Linked DNA regions of Arabidopsis thaliana. The protein of the gene in region 3 purifies or fractionates together with the protein of the main gene of each other region. This does not show direct contact. Each region holds a gene or a part of one and is shown on either strand. Other genes may lie near its edges.

Evidence for each region.
Region 1: the proteins of PARG2 (region 3) and PARP1 purify together in Arabidopsis thaliana (affinity purification with western blotting, with the first as the bait; one study listed by BioGRID). This does not show direct contact.
Region 2: the proteins of PARG2 (region 3) and PARP2 purify together in Arabidopsis thaliana (affinity purification with western blotting, with the first as the bait; one study listed by BioGRID). This does not show direct contact.

What each region holds. Positions count from the first base shown.
Region 1 is NC_003071.7:13,353,722-13,361,607, reverse strand, and holds PARP1 (poly(ADP-ribose) polymerase 2), read left to right. Parts: upstream 1-1,857; 5' UTR 1,858-2,029; coding exon 2,030-2,173; intron 2,174-2,922; coding exon 2,923-2,972; intron 2,973-3,052; coding exon 3,053-3,269; intron 3,270-3,366; coding exon 3,367-3,553; intron 3,554-3,664; coding exon 3,665-3,947; intron 3,948-4,096; coding exon 4,097-4,292; intron 4,293-4,391; coding exon 4,392-4,553; intron 4,554-4,625; coding exon 4,626-4,686; intron 4,687-4,768; coding exon 4,769-4,832; intron 4,833-4,924; coding exon 4,925-5,408; intron 5,409-5,492; coding exon 5,493-5,605; intron 5,606-5,688; coding exon 5,689-5,765; intron 5,766-5,868; coding exon 5,869-6,029; intron 6,030-6,122; coding exon 6,123-6,314; intron 6,315-6,397; coding exon 6,398-6,506; intron 6,507-6,642; coding exon 6,643-6,725; intron 6,726-6,835; coding exon 6,836-6,973; intron 6,974-7,102; coding exon 7,103-7,285; intron 7,286-7,514; coding exon 7,515-7,562; 3' UTR 7,563-7,860; and 1 more. Other genes in the region: AT2G31335 (uncharacterized protein), read right to left, coding at 441-623. UniProt on the Arabidopsis thaliana protein: Involved in the base excision repair (BER) pathway, by catalyzing the poly(ADP-ribosyl)ation of a limited number of acceptor proteins involved in chromatin architecture and in DNA metabolism.
Region 2 is NC_003075.7:1,047,842-1,054,715, forward strand, and holds PARP2 (poly(ADP-ribose) polymerase), read left to right. Parts: upstream 1-1,924; 5' UTR 1,925-2,262; coding exon 2,263-2,346; exon of another isoform or gene 2,347-2,423; coding exon 2,424-2,685; intron 2,686-2,766; coding exon 2,767-2,912; intron 2,913-3,004; coding exon 3,005-3,086; intron 3,087-3,267; coding exon 3,268-3,503; intron 3,504-3,699; coding exon 3,700-3,829; intron 3,830-4,043; coding exon 4,044-4,099; intron 4,100-4,192; coding exon 4,193-4,266; intron 4,267-4,378; coding exon 4,379-4,425; intron 4,426-4,501; coding exon 4,502-4,551; intron 4,552-4,658; coding exon 4,659-4,721; intron 4,722-4,814; coding exon 4,815-4,895; intron 4,896-5,004; coding exon 5,005-5,115; intron 5,116-5,206; coding exon 5,207-5,282; intron 5,283-5,385; coding exon 5,386-5,528; intron 5,529-5,649; coding exon 5,650-5,723; intron 5,724-5,834; coding exon 5,835-5,940; intron 5,941-6,026; coding exon 6,027-6,119; 3' UTR 6,120-6,345; downstream 6,346-6,874. Other genes in the region: AT4G02400 (U3 ribonucleoprotein (Utp) family protein), read left to right, coding at 6,402-6,668. UniProt on the Arabidopsis thaliana protein: Involved in the base excision repair (BER) pathway, by catalyzing the poly(ADP-ribosyl)ation of a limited number of acceptor proteins involved in chromatin architecture and in DNA metabolism.
Region 3 is NC_003071.7:13,546,005-13,551,283, forward strand, and holds PARG2 (poly(ADP-ribose) glycohydrolase 2), read right to left. Parts: upstream 3,568-5,279; 5' UTR 3,469-3,567; coding exon 3,220-3,468; intron 3,088-3,219; coding exon 2,902-3,087; intron 2,727-2,901; coding exon 2,623-2,726; intron 2,543-2,622; coding exon 2,338-2,542; intron 2,223-2,337; coding exon 2,118-2,222; intron 1,996-2,117; coding exon 1,877-1,995; intron 1,769-1,876; coding exon 1,625-1,768; intron 1,533-1,624; coding exon 1,448-1,532; coding exon of another isoform or gene 1,379-1,447; coding exon 1,178-1,378; intron 1,088-1,177; coding exon 1,025-1,087; intron 924-1,024; coding exon 786-923; 3' UTR 540-785; downstream 1-539. Other genes in the region: AT2G31862 (B3 domain protein), read left to right, coding at 1-290; TEJ (Poly (ADP-ribose) glycohydrolase (PARG)), read right to left, coding at 3,995-4,156, 4,347-4,409, 4,676-4,873, 4,989-5,133. UniProt on the Arabidopsis thaliana protein: Poly(ADP-ribose) synthesized after DNA damage is only present transiently and is rapidly degraded by poly(ADP-ribose) glycohydrolase.

The DNA of each region.
Region 1 (7,886 bases), 190 kb from region 3:
GCTTCTCCTTCTTCTTGAGCTCGATCAGTGTATGGGGTTTAAGGACACTCCCAAATCTCAGGGGAAATGTTCAATCCAAAACCATGGAGGGTTTAAGCGTTCAAGGATCTCTCGCCAACGAAGAACAAATTTCAACTCGAACCAATCTCAACCGGTTTATACAATCGAACCAATATGAACCGGTTTATACAATCTGAATCATTTATCGTCTCTTAAACCAAATAAGAAGACTATTATTCCGGTTATCAAACATTTCCAGTACTATTACAAATTTGTTAAACAAACTTATACTTTCAAACAAATTTGCTCTCATAGCTTTGTTACAACTTACAAGAACATGTAAAGCATAGTTTCTCGTATACAACAAAAATGAATACAAAAAGTTCCACCCATAGTCCAAATTTTGGTATTGAGATCAAGCTTGAGATTCACAAGAGGGATCATCCGTGGCACGAACCCGAGCCTTTGGGGATGTGAGAGCAACGGTTAGGACCAGATCCAGGGACCGTACCCTTCTGCAAGGACTCGAACACGAACCGGATATCACTATCGAAGGTGATTCTTAACATCCTCGTGGCTTCTACTTTTGTGGAGTCCAAGAAAACCACAAAAATGGCAAGCATAATCACTCCAAAGATTACTTAATTCTTCATAATCATCACTTTAACTTTGTTTCTTTGTACTAAAAAGTATTTGTAGTAAGTTCGTTTACTCTTTTGTGTCGCATTGAAAGATATGAATATGAGTTAAATATATAGAGAGGGAGGGTTTACTTTTTTTTTGTCGTCAGGGAGGGTTTACTTGGATTCTTATGGATTGACTTTTTAGTTGGAAAAAATTGGTTCTCGACATTTGAACTAGAAAATAAAGATTGAGACTGATTAAACAAGTTAACACGTAAACCGGTTTTGTCTTGGACCGCAAGATTTCTTGCTCATACGGAAGGGCGAAGAAGATCACGCGTCTCACGAATTTTTAAGCAAATAGGAGGAAAATGCACCCGGGATGTTATTACGGTCCAACTTGATTAGTGTATTCCCGGTTTGATTTTCTGACAAATTATGGTGATCAATTTCATATTTTTTTGCTTCTTGTAGTACATGTTGGATTTTTTTTGTTAGTACAATATTCTGAAAATTTTGATGGAAAATGCAATCATATAATTATAGCGAAAAAAGGCTGCAAAGCTAAAAAAAAAAAAAATCGAAACAAAAACACAACAAATAAACTAAATGAGAAATTCAACTAGCAGTTTTTCAAGAAGAAACACTGATTCTGAACGCCGAATTAAAGATGGACATTCGCGTAATTGTCACAGTTCCAAAAATCTCGAGACCTTATCGTCGTTATTACGAACAATCTCTACCCTATACCAAGCTTCTAACCTCAAAGAGACGCTAACTGCTGTTTCGAAAACTAACACAAAACATGTCGGATTTAATTTAGCAATGTAGCTCTTACGTGGTCAAAATTCTCATTTTTGTTCCAATGTAAACTAGAAATGTACAGATGTTTTCCGAAATATACAACCACCATGATTCAATCGTTCGACGGATTCTGCGAATTCGTCCATGATTTGTTGATTTTTTTTGTTAATATATTTTTCACCAATGCTATTTTCTTTTTTCTTTTTTCAATTCCCTATTGTCATTTTATAGCCATAATTTTATGTTCACATAATCTTTTCTTCCTGTCTCAAAAATATAAAACAACAAGTGATAGTAATCATCGTCTATTGCATAACGGAGGGTGCAAATTATTGATTTACTAATCTGATATCAAATTAAATCATTGAATAAATCTGATTATCAAAATAATAATTGAAAGCAATAATCTTAAAACAGACTTTTTAGGGTAAAAAAGGGAAAAAGGGTTAAACGGTAGAAACACAATCTGGAAAAGCGTCGCCGAGAAGCTTTACTCTCACCTGAAACATTCCTCAATCCGTCGTCATCATAATCATCTTCGATAGAGAAGCCATACGTATAAATAGTACTCTCGCATTGTGTAATTGTCTCTTACCGGAGAAATGGCAAGCCCACATAAGCCGTGGAGGGCGGAGTATGCAAAGTCGTCGAGGTCTTCATGTAAAACTTGCAAGTCCGTCATTAACAAGGAGAACTTTCGTCTTGGAAAGTTGGTTCAATCTACTCACTTCGATGGCATCATGCCCGTATGACTCTCTTTTCTCTCCCAGAATTTGGAACTGTCTCTGTACTATACTCTCGTGCTTGTTAGTGTGCGTTCTAATGTTTCTTTCTGATTTTGAGGACAAAATTGATTCTTTTAGAATTATTGTCAGACAAATTGGGTTTATTTGGTTGAAATTGGTTATTTTTGAGGGTTCAATCCTGTTCTCTCTGCTTCCACTGTTCTACATTCCTTGCAAATTTGTGTGTGTGTGTGTGTCAAGCTTGTTTTCTATCTCAAAATTGGAACTTTTTTAACTTCTTAAATAGATGTTAACCTTCCTCACATTATGTTCTTTCCTCCTTTTGTGCCTAATCGAATGTGATAAAAGAGCATTTGAAGCTTAAATTTGAGTCACTTGTGTGTTTATTTAGTACTTGATGATTGCCAAAAGGTTCGTGCTTTTCTGCAATGACGTATGTGAACTCCTATTATTCCCTTTGGAACTCTGACGTTATTCTGTTTGGATGATCATAATCGTTTGTTTAGCTGTGTTTTGATATCTTTATGCCGCCAATGCTATGATTGCAATCAGCTGTGTTTTTCATGAGCTTTTATGCTTGTTGTTTAATGGAATGGCAGTGGTCATTCTTCTCTTCTTCTTTTCACTATGTAGTTCCTTCTTCATGCTGCTTCACTTCACCATGTTAATTATATGTTGCTTTTAGCTCCAGTTGACATGAAGTTTTCCTAGCTGACTATCCTCTTTGTACTTTTATTTTTCTCACACAGATGTGGAACCATGCTTCTTGTATACTAAAGAAGACGAAGCAGATAAAATCGTATGTAAAACCAATGTCACTTTGAACAAATATTTAAAGTGTTTGGCTATTAACTCGTTTTTGTCTCTTGATTTTGCTAGAGTTGATGATGTTGAAGGCATAGAATCACTTCGTTGGGAAGATCAGCAAAAGATTAGAAAATATGTCGAATCTGGAGCAGGGAGTAACACAAGCACAAGCACAGGCACAAGCACGAGCAGTACCGCTAATAATGCCAAACTAGAATATGGGATTGAAGTGTCACAAACTTCTCGTGCCGGTTGCAGAAAGTGTAGCGAAAAGATCTTGAAAGGAGAGGTAAATTGTTGTTCTACTTCATCTGTCATGGTTGTAGCGTTTTATATGAACTGGTTCGATATGCATTAGGGTTTTGTTTTGCATTTTTGTTTTCCAGGTACGTATATTCTCCAAGCCTGAAGGCCCGGGTAACAAAGGTTTGATGTGGCATCACGCTAAATGTTTCCTTGAAATGTCTTCCTCTACTGAACTGGAAAGTTTGTCTGGATGGAGAAGTATACCAGACTCAGACCAAGAAGCTCTTCTTCCCTTAGTGAAGAAAGCTCTGCCGGCAGCCAAAACTGGTAAGAGTCTTAAGGTGTACGGTAATATATTGATTTCCTTGTTACAGGATCCTGATTTGCAGTACTTTAGTCTGATCTTTCCGTTAATTTATTTTGGCCCAACTGGGACAGAGACAGCAGAAGCACGTCAAACAAATTCAAGAGCAGGCACAAAACGAAAAAATGATTCTGTTGATAACGAGAAGTCGAAACTAGCAAAAAGTAGTTTTGACATGTCTACAAGTGGTGCTTTACAACCTTGTAGCAAAGAAAAGGAAATGGAGGCCCAAACTAAGGAATTGTGGGACCTGAAGGATGATCTGAAAAAATATGTAACATCAGCTGAGTTGCGGGAAATGCTTGAAGTAAATGAACAAAGTACAAGAGGATCTGAACTTGATCTGCGTGATAAATGGTAAATTACTTTGCGAATCTGTCTGGAAGTTAATTGCTTGTCTTTTGTTCTATTTCTGTTACTGTTGTGTGGATCTTCTTAAAGGTAATTTGGATTAGAGAAACCGATGCATAATCATATGCCTAACCTCTCTATTTGTTTCTATTTAGTGCTGATGGCATGATGTTTGGCCCACTCGCTCTCTGCCCAATGTGCTCTGGGCATCTTTCTTTCTCCGGAGGACTTTACCGATGCCATGGATACATCTCAGAATGGAGCAAATGTTCTCATTCCACTTTGGATCCAGACCGCATCAAAGGGAAGTGGAAAATCCCTGACGAAACAGAAAATCAATTCCTTCTGAAGGTAAACCAGTCTTTTTGTAGAGTTGATATTGGTATGGGTTAGGTTAGATGTGGTATATATTACTCATGAAGTTAATATTTATATTTTGATTACTTGCAGTGGAATAAGTCTCAAAAGAGTGTGAAGCCAAAACGTATTCTGCGTCCTGTATTGTCTGGCGAGACATCTCAGGGTCAAGGTTCTAAAGATGCAACTGACTCCTCAAGGAGTGAAAGGCTAGCAGATCTTAAAGTTTCAATTGCTGGAAATACTAAGGAAAGGGTATGTTCTTCTGTCAAAAATTATATTGTAGACTATCTTTGCACTTCATTGCTTGATGGGATCATTTTGCAGCAACCATGGAAGAAGAGAATTGAGGAAGCTGGTGCAGAGTTTCATGCTAATGTTAAAAAAGGTATGGATAACTCGAGTGTCTATTTTTGATTATTGTGACACTAGTTTTAGCTTTTGAATATCTCTGTTTCACAAATTTGTAGGTACAAGCTGTTTGGTTGTTTGTGGACTGACAGATATCAGAGACGCTGAAATGAGAAAGGCAAGGTAGAATATTGCCTTCATTGTGCTGATACTCTTTAACTTTGTCACACTATTTTTTCTCACTTTGAACGCTGGAGTTGATAAATGTGTGGCAGGAGGATGAAAGTGGCAATCGTGAGAGAGGATTATTTGGTTGATTGTTTTAAAAAACAGAGGAAACTTCCATTTGACAAGTACAAAATTGAAGACACTAGTGAGAGCCTTGTCACTGTTAAAGTAAAAGGACGAAGCGCTGTGCATGAAGCGTCTGGCCTCCAAGAGCACTGTCACATTCTTGAAGATGGGAACAGTATCTATAACACAACTCTGAGCATGTCTGATCTCTCTACCGGTATCAATAGTTATTACATACTCCAGATAATCCAAGAAGATAAAGGTTCAGATTGTTACGTATTTCGTAAATGGGGCCGAGTTGGAAATGAAAAGATTGGTGGTAACAAAGTGGAGGAAATGTCAAAGTCTGATGCGGTTCACGAATTCAAACGTCTATTTCTTGAAAAAACCGGAAACACATGGGAATCTTGGGAACAAAAAACGAATTTCCAGAAACAACCTGGAAAATTTCTCCCGTTGGACATTGTAAGCATCCATATGACTATATCTTTGTCTCTTAAGATTCTCTTATGTATCGTTCAATAAACTCTTTTGTATCGTTTGTTTTAGGATTATGGAGTTAATAAGCAAGTAGCCAAAAAAGAGCCATTTCAGACCAGTAGCAACCTTGCTCCATCATTAATAGAATTGATGAAGATGCTTTTTGATGTGGAAACTTACAGGTTAGAAACTTATTTGCCATTGTCTTCTTCTCCTCTTCTCTCCCTAGAAACTGTATGAAGTAACCTAATAATTACTTCCGCAGATCTGCAATGATGGAGTTCGAGATAAATATGTCAGAGATGCCACTTGGGAAGCTCAGCAAACATAATATACAGAAGGGTAACTCCTACTTCTCTAGTTTACTTTTTTATATGATAAAAATAATAAAATGTTAATTCTACATTACATTCTATTATGTTTTTTCTTGTTTGTTCTTCTAAAGGTTTTGAGGCATTGACGGAGATACAGAGGCTATTGACTGAAAGCGACCCCCAGCCTACTATGAAAGAAAGCTTGCTTGTTGATGCTAGTAACAGATTTTTTACCATGATCCCTTCTATTCATCCTCATATTATCCGAGATGAAGATGACTTTAAGTCAAAGGTACTTGCCATAGAACATGAACCATGGTGTTGTTTTTTAATTCCTAGCCTCTTTTTCTGTGTTACAAAGAGGTATTGTATCTGTGTGTCACAGGTGAAAATGCTCGAGGCTCTGCAGGATATCGAAATAGCTTCAAGAATAGTTGGCTTTGATGTTGATAGCACCGAATCTCTTGATGATAAGTATAAGAAGCTGCATTGCGATATCTCACCACTTCCTCATGATAGCGAAGATTATCGATTAATCGAGAAGTATCTTAACACAACTCATGCCCCAACGCATACAGTGAGTTCAAGCTCTGTTTATCCCTTTTCATGTTTTGTTTATCATAATTTTCTAATTCAATTTCTGGTCACTGGATTTGTCAGGAGTGGAGTCTTGAGCTAGAGGAAGTTTTTGCTCTTGAAAGAGAAGGAGAGTTTGATAAATATGCTCCCCACAGAGAAAAACTTGGCAATAAGATGCTCCTATGGCATGGTAAGCCAACTGCAACCAGCCACATTTACATGCTTTGGGAAACAGATACAAGAAATTTCATTGTTTGGTTGATTCTATATATTTGGCTGGTTGATCATCAAAACCCTTGGTTTAACCAAAATAAATCTGCTTTCAGGTTCTCGATTAACGAATTTTGTTGGAATATTGAACCAAGGACTGAGAATTGCACCTCCAGAAGCTCCTGCTACTGGTTACATGGTCAGTACTCTATCTGTGTCTTATTTGTGGGGATCTTATCAATTGAGAGTTCTTCACTATCTAGTTAACTTGTTAGAGAATCTGAACTTTTTTTAAACCCCATGTTTCAGTTTGGAAAAGGGATATACTTTGCTGACCTTGTCAGTAAAAGTGCTCAGTACTGCTACACTTGTAAGAAAAATCCGGTGGGTCTAATGCTTCTGAGTGAAGTTGCATTGGGAGAAATACATGAGCTAACAAAAGCTAAGGTGAGCCCATATTACAGTTTTTCAGGTTATGCTACTAACCATTTGGTTCTTATCTTGAAAACTATATGAACAACTTAAGATATTACTTACCTTCATATATGACTTTCTCTTATGTCCTCAATTCTTTAGTATATGGATAAACCTCCGAGAGGGAAACACTCGACCAAAGGGCTCGGCAAGAAAGTGCCTCAAGATTCCGAGTTTGCCAAGTGGAGAGGTGATGTGACTGTTCCCTGTGGAAAACCTGTTTCATCAAAGGTCAAGGCTTCTGAGCTTATGTACAATGAGTATATCGTCTACGATACAGCCCAGGTAACTTGTGTTTCCAAAATAATCTTCCTTGTTCCTTACAACAATGGGATATTGCGCACACACTAAAGTCCTCTTTTGTTCTTATCGGGTACTTGGGAATGAGAACTGAATTCCCTAGAAAGCTCATGCTTTAGAATACGGCTTTAGCTATTAGTTTTGCAACATATTCTGTGTTTGATTCTTTTATGGTGTGTACATGTCTGACAAAGATTGCTTTGTCTCTGAACAGGTGAAGTTGCAGTTCTTGTTGAAAGTAAGGTTTAAGCACAAGAGATGAGCCTGAACCAAACAAGAAGACGTCACTTCTGTTAACTAAATGTTTTTTTGGGAAATCGAATCCAACACGAAGACTTAACTTTTGTAACTAAATGTCTTTTGATAAATCGAATCCAACATGTAGTCACAGATTTAACTCTCTGGCGTTGTAGATGTTTCTGGTTTTAAAACAGCGTACACTACATTTTGTTATGCTTTTTCTCAGTAATGACACTTCTTAAGACTTGACACTTGTTCAGATCTGATGTTGTACCTATGAAAGATCATCGAAGAAGTGGTTATTCTCAAAGAGAAAATGGTTGCATGATTCGATCTCTACTATGAA
Region 2 (6,874 bases), on a different chromosome or scaffold from region 3:
GTACTAGCCGTCCATCTACAATACAAAAATATGTTATAGCCTACAATAAATGATAGTATGAAAAATTAAATAGCACTATGATATTTTGAGGCGGTGGAGTTTCTATTGATTGGTTATCGATGACCACTTGCATCGTCAAATGGTTCTTTGATTCGTGGTTTCGGCCCCAGCTTCATACTATCACGAGACTCGACCATCTTGTTTTTTTCTTCTTCTTCTTGGTAAATGGTTTCACAACTTGGTTCCTCTTTCTTTCATTTTATTTTATATACTATCATAGCATTTTGGTTGGATTTCTCGAGATAGTATATTTTTTAGTTACTATCATTACATAAGTATATTTTAAAAAACTAATTATATGAATTATGTAGCTAACTAGATAGATAATCGTATAACCAATTCATGTTAGTATAGTATAGTTTAAGTATGTATTTTGGGATTACAAGTGTGGTTGGCATCAAGACAAGGATGGTGATAGCCTTTCTCTGTAATTTGGTTTAAGAAAAGTTTTTGCATTTTATGTATAAACGTGTTTTTTTTTTATAATTTAAAATTTCAACAAAAAACAATTTTTTTTAATAATGATTGACCACTATAGACAATTTAAATGATAAAAAAAACCCCCAATTTTTCACAATGTTTTGGAGATTAGTCTAGATTTTTTGTCCAAATTTTCCGATTGTAAGAATTAAGAAGCAATGAACATTTGTGTTAAGCTTAATGATTTGTACTCACAATATCTTTTAAATTTAAAATTGTTAACCAAAATATCCTATATATTGTACTTGTAATAGAAATATAAACTATTAAAAACAACACTTTATTCATATAATATAAGTTAAAACATATGTTTTTTTTAGTATGTTCTAATCACACCTATTAAAAAAAGTTGAAGCTAAATGAGCCAAAAAGAAAAATAAAGATAGGGGATGGGGACAGGCTGTAATGTTAGGCGGTTGGTATATGAACTGAGAACATGTCTGTTGGTTCGGTCCATCTACACCACTCAACCATTTGGCTATGTTTTCTTTTTGGCTTTTGCATGTTCTCTCTACTTTTCTTCTTTGGTCAAAATCTCTATCTCGTCTTTTACATGGCTTACCCGAATGTTAGTTGTCATGTAAATTTGGTTATGAAAAGATATTTTATATAAACTTTATCGTATATTAATATCGTTATCATCTAACCATTTTTTAAAACTAAACTAGAACCATCCAGTTTTACAAGAGTTTTTTTTTTTTTTTTTCTAACTAAATAATATTTGAAGTGTACAATATTAACAATATATGGGCCAAATAATAGTGGAAACCAAATCGTTAGTCCCACTTTATGATGGGCCTGTTGATTCTTATGTCTTCTTCGTAAGTTGTGATTATGCAGATTACGGGCTAATAAACATGCATGTTTAGTTTTTACTGTCCAAGTAACGAAATTTTATCTTTTGGGTTGTTGGCCCATTTCATATATTCCAAATGCCAAATCCAGCCCGGCTCGACACAGCACTGCTCGGCTCAACACTCGTATGCGGTTGGTAGCCACTTAAGACCTTGGTTTGATTAACATGTTACGAATAATTTGTGTCCCTTTTTCTTCAAGGAGACTAATCTCTTTTAATAAAAAAGAATTGTGTCATTAGTCAACACAAGTCCTATAATCCGTTTACGGTAATTTGTATGCACGTCCTTGGAAAAGTGAGTAGTGGCGTAGCATTACAGCCAAAAACTATTTGTATATTTTTCTTTTCGTTAAACAACCAGCAAAATTTTCAGAAAAATGTTCTTAAATTATAAATTAGTAGTACATTTTAAAACATAGAGATTTTTTGTTTCTTTTAATAGAAGAGTTAAACCTATGTACAAAATTTCAACTCCTTTTCAAAGTATTTGCCTGTTACTAGATTTTTAACCTTTTTTTTTTTATCTTTCATGATTTTCTATTGCTTGCCATCATCAATGGTAGGAAATAAATACTATTTTAAAAAGGTCAGGGGTGGATTTAAGAATCAATCCAAAAGTTTGGGGTCTTTTGGAGATTAAAAAGTTATATGGGAAATATCCACAAATATGAACGAGAACTTTTGTCAAAAAAATTTAAAATAATTTTTCAAAAAGCCCTAAAGCTTTCAAGGGAAGCCATCGATGAAGAAGAAAACGAAGAAGAAGACTCTTCAAATGCTCGCGCGAACTCACTTCTGACGAAAACCATACTTCCTCAGTCTCATTCCCTTTCCGACGAACTATTCTCCTGAAGAAGAAGACGAAAATGGCGAACAAGCTCAAAGTCGACGAACTCCGTTTAAAACTCGCCGAGCGTGGACTCAGTACTACTGGAGTCAAAGCCGTTCTGGTATTTCTCTGAATTGCATTGAAATACTCTTTCTATTTTGTTGATATTCGAATTTGTTTATTGGGTGTTTCGTGTAGGTGGAGAGGCTTGAAGAGGCTATCGCAGAAGACACTAAGAAGGAAGAATCAAAGAGCAAGAGGAAAAGAAATTCTTCTAATGATACTTATGAATCGAACAAATTGATTGCAATTGGCGAATTTCGTGGGATGATTGTGAAGGAATTGCGTGAGGAAGCTATTAAGAGAGGCTTAGATACAACAGGAACCAAAAAGGATCTTCTTGAGAGGCTTTGCAATGATGCTAATAACGTTTCCAATGCACCAGTCAAATCCAGTAATGGTTTGTTCAATTCTCTGGACTATTGAGAAATTTGGTAAAAATTGAGTCTTTTTAATGTTGTTATTGTCATTGTGTATTAAGGGACAGATGAAGCTGAAGATGACAACAATGGCTTTGAAGAAGAAAAGAAAGAAGAGAAAATCGTAACCGCGACAAAGAAGGGTGCAGCGGTGTTAGATCAGTGGATTCCTGATGAGATAAAGAGTCAGTACCATGTTCTACAAAGGGTGAGGATTTGGAACCTAATCTTGAGTTTTTGCATCTTATCGTGTTCATGAATGTTGTTAGAAACTGTTTCTTTTTTTGTTGAATGTTGTAGGGTGATGATGTTTATGATGCTATCTTAAATCAGACAAATGTCAGGGATAATAATAACAAGTTCTTTGTCCTACAAGTCCTAGGTCAGTCTTCCAAAACCTTCAACAATAATTTCCCTGGTTACTTTCCAAGATTAATGAGACGATACTTGTCTTGTTCGAGTACTGGAAACCTCTTGAAGCAGCTTTTGATGACTCTTTGTCATTCTTCTTGGTTCCAGATACTATCATCATTGATCTATCTTATCTATTGTGCATTGTGCAGAGTCGGATAGTAAAAAGACATACATGGTTTACACCAGATGGGGAAGAGTTGGTGTGAAAGGACAAAGTAAGCTAGATGGGCCTTATGACTCATGGGATCGTGCGATAGAGATATTTACCAATAAGTTCAATGACAAGACAAAGAATTATTGGTCTGACAGAAAGGAGTTTATCCCACATCCCAAGTCCTATACATGGCTCGAAATGGATTACGGAAAAGAGGAAAATGATTCACCGGTGAGTGTTTTGGAATCCTCACTTCTCTTTCTCTTCTTACTATTTGTTGTGTGGTATGATCCAAGGGATCTGCTGGAATGAGGTTTTTGAGTGCATATCTACTTTTCTTTTTCCCGTTTAATTGCAATTATATATTTTTTTTCTCTTCGTTCAAATGTGCACTTTACTCAGAGTTCACGATTGTTTTTTTTCTCAGGTCAATAATGATATTCCGAGTTCATCTTCCGAAGTTAAACCTGAACAATCAAAACTAGATACTCGGGTTGCCAAGTTCATCTCTCTTATATGTAATGTCAGCATGATGGCACAGCATATGATGGAAATAGGTTTGAGTCTAACTTTGATCACTTCATTCAAGTGAGAGCATCCATTGGCAGATTAACAGTGATTTTTATATGTCGATACATTATCTCTTTGTTTTGGTGTCCTATTACCTGCGTTTGTACTTCCTATCTTTTGTCCTATCCATTTGTTTGCCATTTTGCTGGTTTCTTTACTTCTTGCTGATTTTTCATACATCTTCTAAATTTGGAATTGAAGGATATAACGCTAACAAATTGCCACTCGGCAAGATAAGCAAGTCCACAATTTCAAAGGTAAAGATAGTAAACAGTCTGTTTGGTCTCATTTCCGTAAATTATAGTTTGGTGTGATTTCAGATGATATAATCTCCTCTTCCACATGTCTAGGGTTATGAAGTGCTGAAGAGAATATCGGAGGTGATTGATCGGTATGATAGAACGAGGCTTGAGGAACTGAGTGGGTATGTATCTGGTTAATTGCTAGACAATTTTTCGCATTTAGTTGATTATGTAACTGTTTCCCATAAAGAAATTAGATTTGAACTAGTCTAACTTTGTTTATCATTGATGCAGAGAGTTCTACACAGTGATACCTCATGATTTTGGTTTTAAGAAAATGAGTAAGTTCATCTGTGCTAAGGTTTACGATATATATAACTAAACATTCACTAACATCTGAATTCCGAGCTGTAACAGGCCAGTTTGTTATAGACACTCCTCAAAAGTTGAAACAGAAAATTGAAATGGTAATTTTTCCTACTGTTTCCTTACTTGACTAGTTTTGGTCTTCAGAAAAGCAATGGTTTGTCGCTACATGTTTTGTGTAGTTTTTAATATATCGTTTTTTTGTAAGGTTGAAGCATTAGGTGAGATTGAACTCGCAACAAAGTTGTTGTCCGTCGACCCGGGATTGCAGGTAATTCAGTCAGTCTATGTGGTTTGAAGGCATGAAATCACTCCGTCGTATAGTTCTCTAAGAATATGACATTATTTTTTGCAATGGCTGTAGGATGATCCTTTATATTATCACTACCAGCAACTTAATTGTGGTTTGACGCCAGTAGGAAATGATTCAGAGGAGTTCTCTATGGTAAATTTTCGGTTTTGTGAACTTTGAACAAATATCTTTGATACTCGAGCATCTCAAACATGTCTGTGTTTTAAACCTTTTGGTGTTTACTCCTTAAAACCAAAATCAGGTTGCTAATTACATGGAGAACACTCATGCAAAGACGCATTCGGGATATACGGTTGAGATTGCTCAACTATTTAGAGCTTCGAGAGCTGTTGAAGCTGATCGATTCCAACAGGTATGTTATGGTATTTCGAGCTTGTCAGTACCATACACATTATTCTGATTTCTCGTTTTTGGCATTGTGAGACTTTAATTTTTCTTGGCAGTTTTCAAGTTCGAAGAACAGGATGCTACTCTGGCACGGTTCACGTCTCACTAACTGGGCTGGTATTTTATCTCAAGGTAACATGTTACTCTTTTTCCTCTTAGTAACTACTTTTTTTCTTCTCCTCTTGGGGGATTTTCAATTGCATAGTAAAATGAACAACTATGAGACACCAAGCAGGTCTGCGAATAGCTCCTCCTGAAGCGCCTGTAACTGGTTACATGTTTGGAAAAGGGGTTTACTTTGCGGATATGTTCTCCAAGAGTGCGAACTATTGCTATGCCAACACTGGCGCTAATGATGGCGTTCTGCTCCTCTGCGAGGTATACTCGCTTCTTGTCTCTATTCATATAGAAAACAACAAAACTACTGTATAACTACAGGACCTCTATAGCCATTCAACATAACTATCCTTATGTTTCCTAACGATAAAAACTTCTCTAGGTTGCTTTGGGAGACATGAATGAACTTCTGTATTCAGATTATAACGCGGATAATCTACCCCCGGGAAAGCTAAGGTATGAAGATAATCTCATTCATATTTCACACAAGTTCCTTATCTCAAACCGCAATGAATTATGATTTACTATTTTTGTACTGTACCTTGATTTGTTATTTGATGGTTGCAGCACAAAAGGTGTGGGGAAAACAGCACCAAACCCATCAGAGGCTCAAACACTAGAAGACGGTGTTGTTGTTCCACTTGGCAAACCAGTGGAACGTTCATGCTCCAAGGTTTTTGTTTTTGTCTTGCTTCAACACACATTCACAAAATCTAACTCTCTCAAATTTCATAAACTGACTTTATATAACTTTTGCAGGGGATGTTGTTGTACAACGAATATATAGTCTACAATGTGGAACAAATCAAGATGCGTTATGTGATCCAAGTCAAATTCAACTACAAGCACTAAAACTTATGTATATTAGCTTTTGAACATCAACTAATTATCCAAAAATCAGCGTTTTATTGTATTTCTTTCAAACTCCTTCATCTCTGATTTTGCACGGTTCACTCGTATATTGGTACGCTAAACCGCAAACCATACCCAATTTTATCCGGTTTAGTTGGTATGATTGAGAAATTCTTATTCTCTGAAACTCGATTTTATTAGTATTTAAGCGAAAGAGAAGAAACCCTACGAAAATCTCAATCGGAAACTAAACGGCAAAAAAAAAAAAAAGCAGAGGCAGCCATGGGAGAAAAGAGAAAATCTACTTCGAAAACCCTAGCTAAGAACAAGAAGAGGAAAGGTCCTCATTTGCCTAATTCAATCCTGAAGACTATTGCCAATGAGAAACGTCCTTTGAACTCTGACGAAGATGACGATGAGATCGATTCCGACGATGAAAACGTCGATTTGTATGAGTATGAAGAAGGTGTGCCTGAGGAAGAGTCTAAGAAAAACAATCGCTATGACCGCGTCGATAACTACGACTACGAGCTTCCCGAGGATTTCGAGGTTTTATTCTTTCTCTTCACTAATTCTCCGCCACTGTGTGAAATTGCAAGTTTTGAACTTTAGTGATAAGAAGATAATCTACAGATTTTGGTTTTAGCTCAATTAGGGTTTTTGCTATCGGGATTCTTACGCTATAACAAATTGGTGAATCCAAAATTGAGAGTTTTTAATTGATTGATTGGTAATGAGATAGTAACTTTAGATCT
Region 3 (5,279 bases):
CTATCCTTCTGGCTCCAGCTCCAACTCCATCTTCGCCTCCGGTTGTTACTAGAGATTCTGACGAGCTATATATATCTCATGCTGATGCTCAAGAAGAGGGTGACAGAATACTTCCAGTTCATGCAGATAATGATTGGGAGTGCCTAAATTTATTGGCTAAAGTGTCCGAGGAGACGACTTGTCTCGAGGTTTCACAAGAGGCAAATAGGAGGAGCTCACTAGTCTCGGACACAGAGCTGGACCTCGAGCTCCGGTTGTCACTTCCTGGCAAAAACAGCTATGTTATGTGATTAGTTTCTCTTGGTTTTTTGGTTTTTTTTATGCCTTGCAAGTAGTTTTCTTCAGACTCTCGAAGATGGTTTTTTAGGATTTTTGTTCTTTTTATCTAGGTGTTATTTTATTTTTTGGTCTTTTAAACTCAATTTTCTGAGTACTGGTTTTTAGTTAATGGTCTTAGTGTAGACAGTCTGAGTGCTGTTGTTTTAGAGTGTGCTGATTTTCATTCCCTATATCGTTCCTTTCTGTTTGAACGGATGATGTTTGTTTTTGGCAAGTTTTATTTCCCACTTACCTTTGTTTCACAAGATATATAATCCTCGTAAGATTGGAACTAACCAAATTACATAAAGACTTTATATCATGAGTATTATTTGACTTCACTACAATGGATTAGCAATCTAACGCTTTAGACTTAATATGTCAGAAACAAACAGAGATATGGATAATACATTTCCCATAATTCAGACAAGAATAGTATTTTATATAACTTTGACTCAATTTTTACTCTAGGTAGACAGTGAGGTCATGAGCCACGAGAAGAAGCCAAGCCATGTTCTTCTGCTGAGCCTCTCTGAAGAATACTCAACTAGTTTTTTCCATAGGTCTCCTACAGTCATTTCTTGTAAAGCGACCATTTCGATCACCTGAAAGAACACCCACACATATATGTATAGAGCATGTTTTTAAAGTGTTGAAATGGGAGAAAGAGTGGTTTCATTGTTTAATAAATTAGGATTCTAATAACCTGATTGAGATTTTGTAAGGCTTGGAGGCCAAAGGTATAGTATGACATGAAGGGTCTTCCTGACTAGAGAAAGTAGATCGAGATTGTTTTCGCAGTTAAATAGAATGATAATTATGTTTTGTAAGATAAGTTGATGAAAACAGAGAAGCATGCCTGTGAAATGGCAAGCCACTGAAGCATGATCTTTAGTTCTGGATCACCTCCAAACACACCGCAGCCCCAGTTCCCTGTAGCTACACCAATCTTTTTCTCTTCATGATCGATACACCATCTATGAGAGCTTTCTATAACTTGGCTCGCAGAATCTGATGTAAGAGGAACATGCTGCTTTGCGAAAACAAATTTAATCTTGGTCTAGTCAAGAAAAACAAAATGCTTAACATGTATGCTAAATTCATGTATGGAGCATAATTGTGGTCTTACCGAAGATGATGCCTCAGGATCATGCTTAACATCGATATTATATTTACATTGATGCATGTATCCGCTAAAAGCCTTATTAACCTCTCTACAGAAACAAAAGGAGCAATTGAGTAATTCACAAACAAAATAAAAAAAAGGAAAGAATGAAAAACTGGCTGAAAGACAAGTTTTGATTACCGAATGAGGGCATCAAGTTTGTACTGTCCCATTCCTGGGTCAGGCATGGCATCTATAGCTATGACTCTTGTTTTTCGCCTCCTGAAAATGTCTAAGTCCTTGTTGTCTGTGTAATCACCAGCATATTGGAACGAAGGCCCATACCTGAATGGAGCCACCATGAGTTGGATTTAGAGAGAAGACTATATAATAAGCTTAATATCAACTTTGAAGACCCAATAAACACATCTACTTCAGTTCATTGGTACTTACCCTGTATAACCTGAAAATCTTTCAACACCAACAATCTCAATTGCTTCATTTGCATCCATACGAGGCAAAAAGATCATGCCAGCGATAAGTTCCGGGTTGATCACGAACCTTATTTCTTCCTACATAGGTATATTTTGACATGTTCAACATATTTTGAAATAAGAAAAACTTATAACTTATTTAGTGGATGAGATAGTAGAGTTTTTAGAAGAGATGGAAGAAAAGGAAGTACAAGTCAGACCTGTAGAGTATCATAACTCAGAGTAAGGCCTCCAAAATACTCATCTGCAAAATCTACTTCAAGAGCTTCACAAGGTTGATCTTCTATAGCTCCCGAGGTGTGAATCTACTCCAATAAAAAATGGATCAAAAGGAGAATAACCTAAAGCATACTCATGAATCATCTGAAAGAAATGGATTCAACGGCGAAGAAGGCTTAACTAGGAGTGTTTCTATGATACCTCAATGGAGCAAAGTGGGGTGACAGAATTAGCCCACGAATCAGCCTTGGGATAAGAAACAAAGTGAGGATGGTATTCCAGTGGAAGAATTTTCCTCTCAAATGAAACAAAGCCGGTGGGCATCCATCGACATATTCTTCCAAAGTAATGGATAAGGCACTTTATTTTGTTTTCTTGCTTCGTGCAGTGACGCATATACGGAAACCTTAAAAAAACACAAGAAAGATTTGTGACTTTGGGGCATATATGGTTGTAACTTTTAAGAAATATGATGAAGACACATACGAAAACAATCCACTAAAGTTGATTCCTTGAAGATTCTTTAAGCTTCTGTCAACTTCAGGGAACAAGCAAAAGAAGGAACACGCAAGAAGAGCTGCAATCAACTCCTGCAGAAGGTAGCAAAATACATCAAGGGGTGAAAAAGTTGAAGAATAAAGGAACGAAGCTTGGTTTCAAAAATCAAGCAAAATTTCATTTACAAAGAGTACTAGACAGTTACTATATCAATCTTTAATTCAATGCAACACAAGGCATGTCTTTGTTTGGACTGAAAGAGTATACCTGGCTAAGTAACACAATTCCAGCTTCTTGAGGGCCTAATAGACGAAGCCCGGACTTAACTCCATCAAGAACATGGTCTGCCTTCTGATAGTGTTTTTCTAACATGGAAGGTAACTGGAGAAGTAATCTGCACAATGCAGGAACCACCTCACCAAAAAAGTTTGCCGACTCTTCTCTGGAAATTTTCTGCATCACAAGAAGAAATTTTTTTGTGAGTACTTTATGCTCCATGACAAATGTTCCCCCTAAGAGTAAAATGAATAAGAAAAACACAAAACACTAAGAAAGTGGATGAAAGAAGGACAGAGGAATTGTTACCTTGTCAAAGAAAAGACCATACCCTTGTAATGCATAAGGGGCGAGATCAGATGCATTCAAGGAGAGAGATTTCCGCATATTCGTGATATGCAAGGCAAGAGCCTCTCCCGAGTTAACCATTGACTCACTCGGTCCTCTAGATATTGTTTGGAGCTCTTCTTCGACAGAAGGTGGCCAAACTAGTGATGAAGACTGAGCCACAAGAGGCAAATACTGAAGAATTGACCTAAGATCTGCCCTCAGTTCCATCCTTATTGCCTGAAAAGGAGATTAGAAAACTTAGGAGATGAAAGTTTGCAAATGATTTAAGGATATGGACATTTGATGTTGTATCTCTATATGACTTAGTCCGTTGGTAGCTTAAGGACAAAGAAACCCATTTGATTTTTCTTTTTAACAGATGGCACCAAAGTCAATCAGGAACACGTTTTCCAGAAAGACCGAGTCAAATTTACTCTTGACAACAAAATGTTGGTGGACCATAAACTTTTCCCGGACTAACTTTCCCAGAAGATTCCAGCATAACCCTGTAATTTCAACTGATAAACAAAAAGAACTTTTTTCTTTAAAACAAAAGCCTGATTCAAACATTTGACCAAAATCATAAATCAGCAAACGCACTAAACTAATTACGCTTGAGGTCAAGAACTGGCGAGCTTACAACGGATTCAAGCTTGTAAGAGGAAAATAATCACTTTTACACACCCATGTGGGAAAATGCAGAGATACAGTATGAGAATGCATCAAACAAGTTAATGAAGGAGAATTTGCAGAGTCAAGGCGGCTGGATAGCTTTGTTGGTGGTAGCTAGAGATGGAAGTAGCCAAGAAAAGAAGCCAACACTGGTTTGCTTGTAGAGCCTTTGAGCAGAATATTCTAACATCATGTTCCACAGATCTCCAACAGTCCATTTATGGGAAAGAATCCACTTCGTCACCTATCCTTGTAAGAGTATGTATCAGTTTCAAAATCAAGATATGTTCACAGACGACCTTAAAAGTACTATACCCTGGATGCTCTATCCGCTTACTACAAACCCAATTCTAAGTAAAATGTCAGTGGAGAAAAAGAAGACACTGTAAGAGAGGTTCTAGAATTGTGAAGTTTAAAAGAGTATCGGAGGTTACCTGATCTAGGTTTCGGAGTGCCTCTACTCCAAAGGTGTAATATGATATAAATGGTCTTCGAGTCTGAAATATAGCCATGACCGAGTTAAGAAAGAAGCATCAAATGAAAATCGCTATATATCTCATCATCCAAGTCGAAGCTTTGGTTCATTCTAGAAAAATTAAGTCAAAAGTGACAATGGAGTGTTTCTTACAGTCAAAACAGACTAAGTCTGTGGTTTCATAGAAAGATCTATATGTTTTTATTCTTATGGCCTACTGGTACTCAACTTGTATACTCCAGGAAAATAATAATTTCATTACTTTTAGCTGATGATGTATAAAAGCACCTGGGAAGCAGCAAGCCATTGTATCGTAGCCTTTAGCTCTGGGTCTCCTCCAAAAACACCACATCCCCAATTCCCTGTCGCGACACCATCATCTTCATGATCCTCGTTATCAACTCCTTCCACATAAAAATCTCTGATAAGATTGTTAGCAGGCTTTTCTCTATTCATCTCAACATCATTTAGTGGAGTTCGGTGTGACTGCATCAGAAACAGTAGAGAACAACAAAAAAAGTTGAAACATTATTTTTCAAAAGCTAATTCAAATTGGCTACAAATGAAAAAAGGTACTAAAGGTTTGTAGGATGATTCCAACCGCAGTAGTTTCTGTACGCAGAAGACCAGAATCTCTGCCGTTTCGGACAAGCTGAATTTCATTATCTCCTTCATCCATGAATATATTCTGGTGCTCCCAAGCCTTGCTACAATTTAAAAAGCCACATAGTGCCTTATTAATTTCCCTGAAAAAAGCAGAAAGAGGAGGAGACATTAAATTTCACGTGGAAAGAGAATAGAAGAGTATAGAAAGAACTTAGTAGCAAGACTCCAAAATGTTGTATAGACACAAACTGTGGATTGTCTGAAAAACCTATGAATCCCCAAAAGA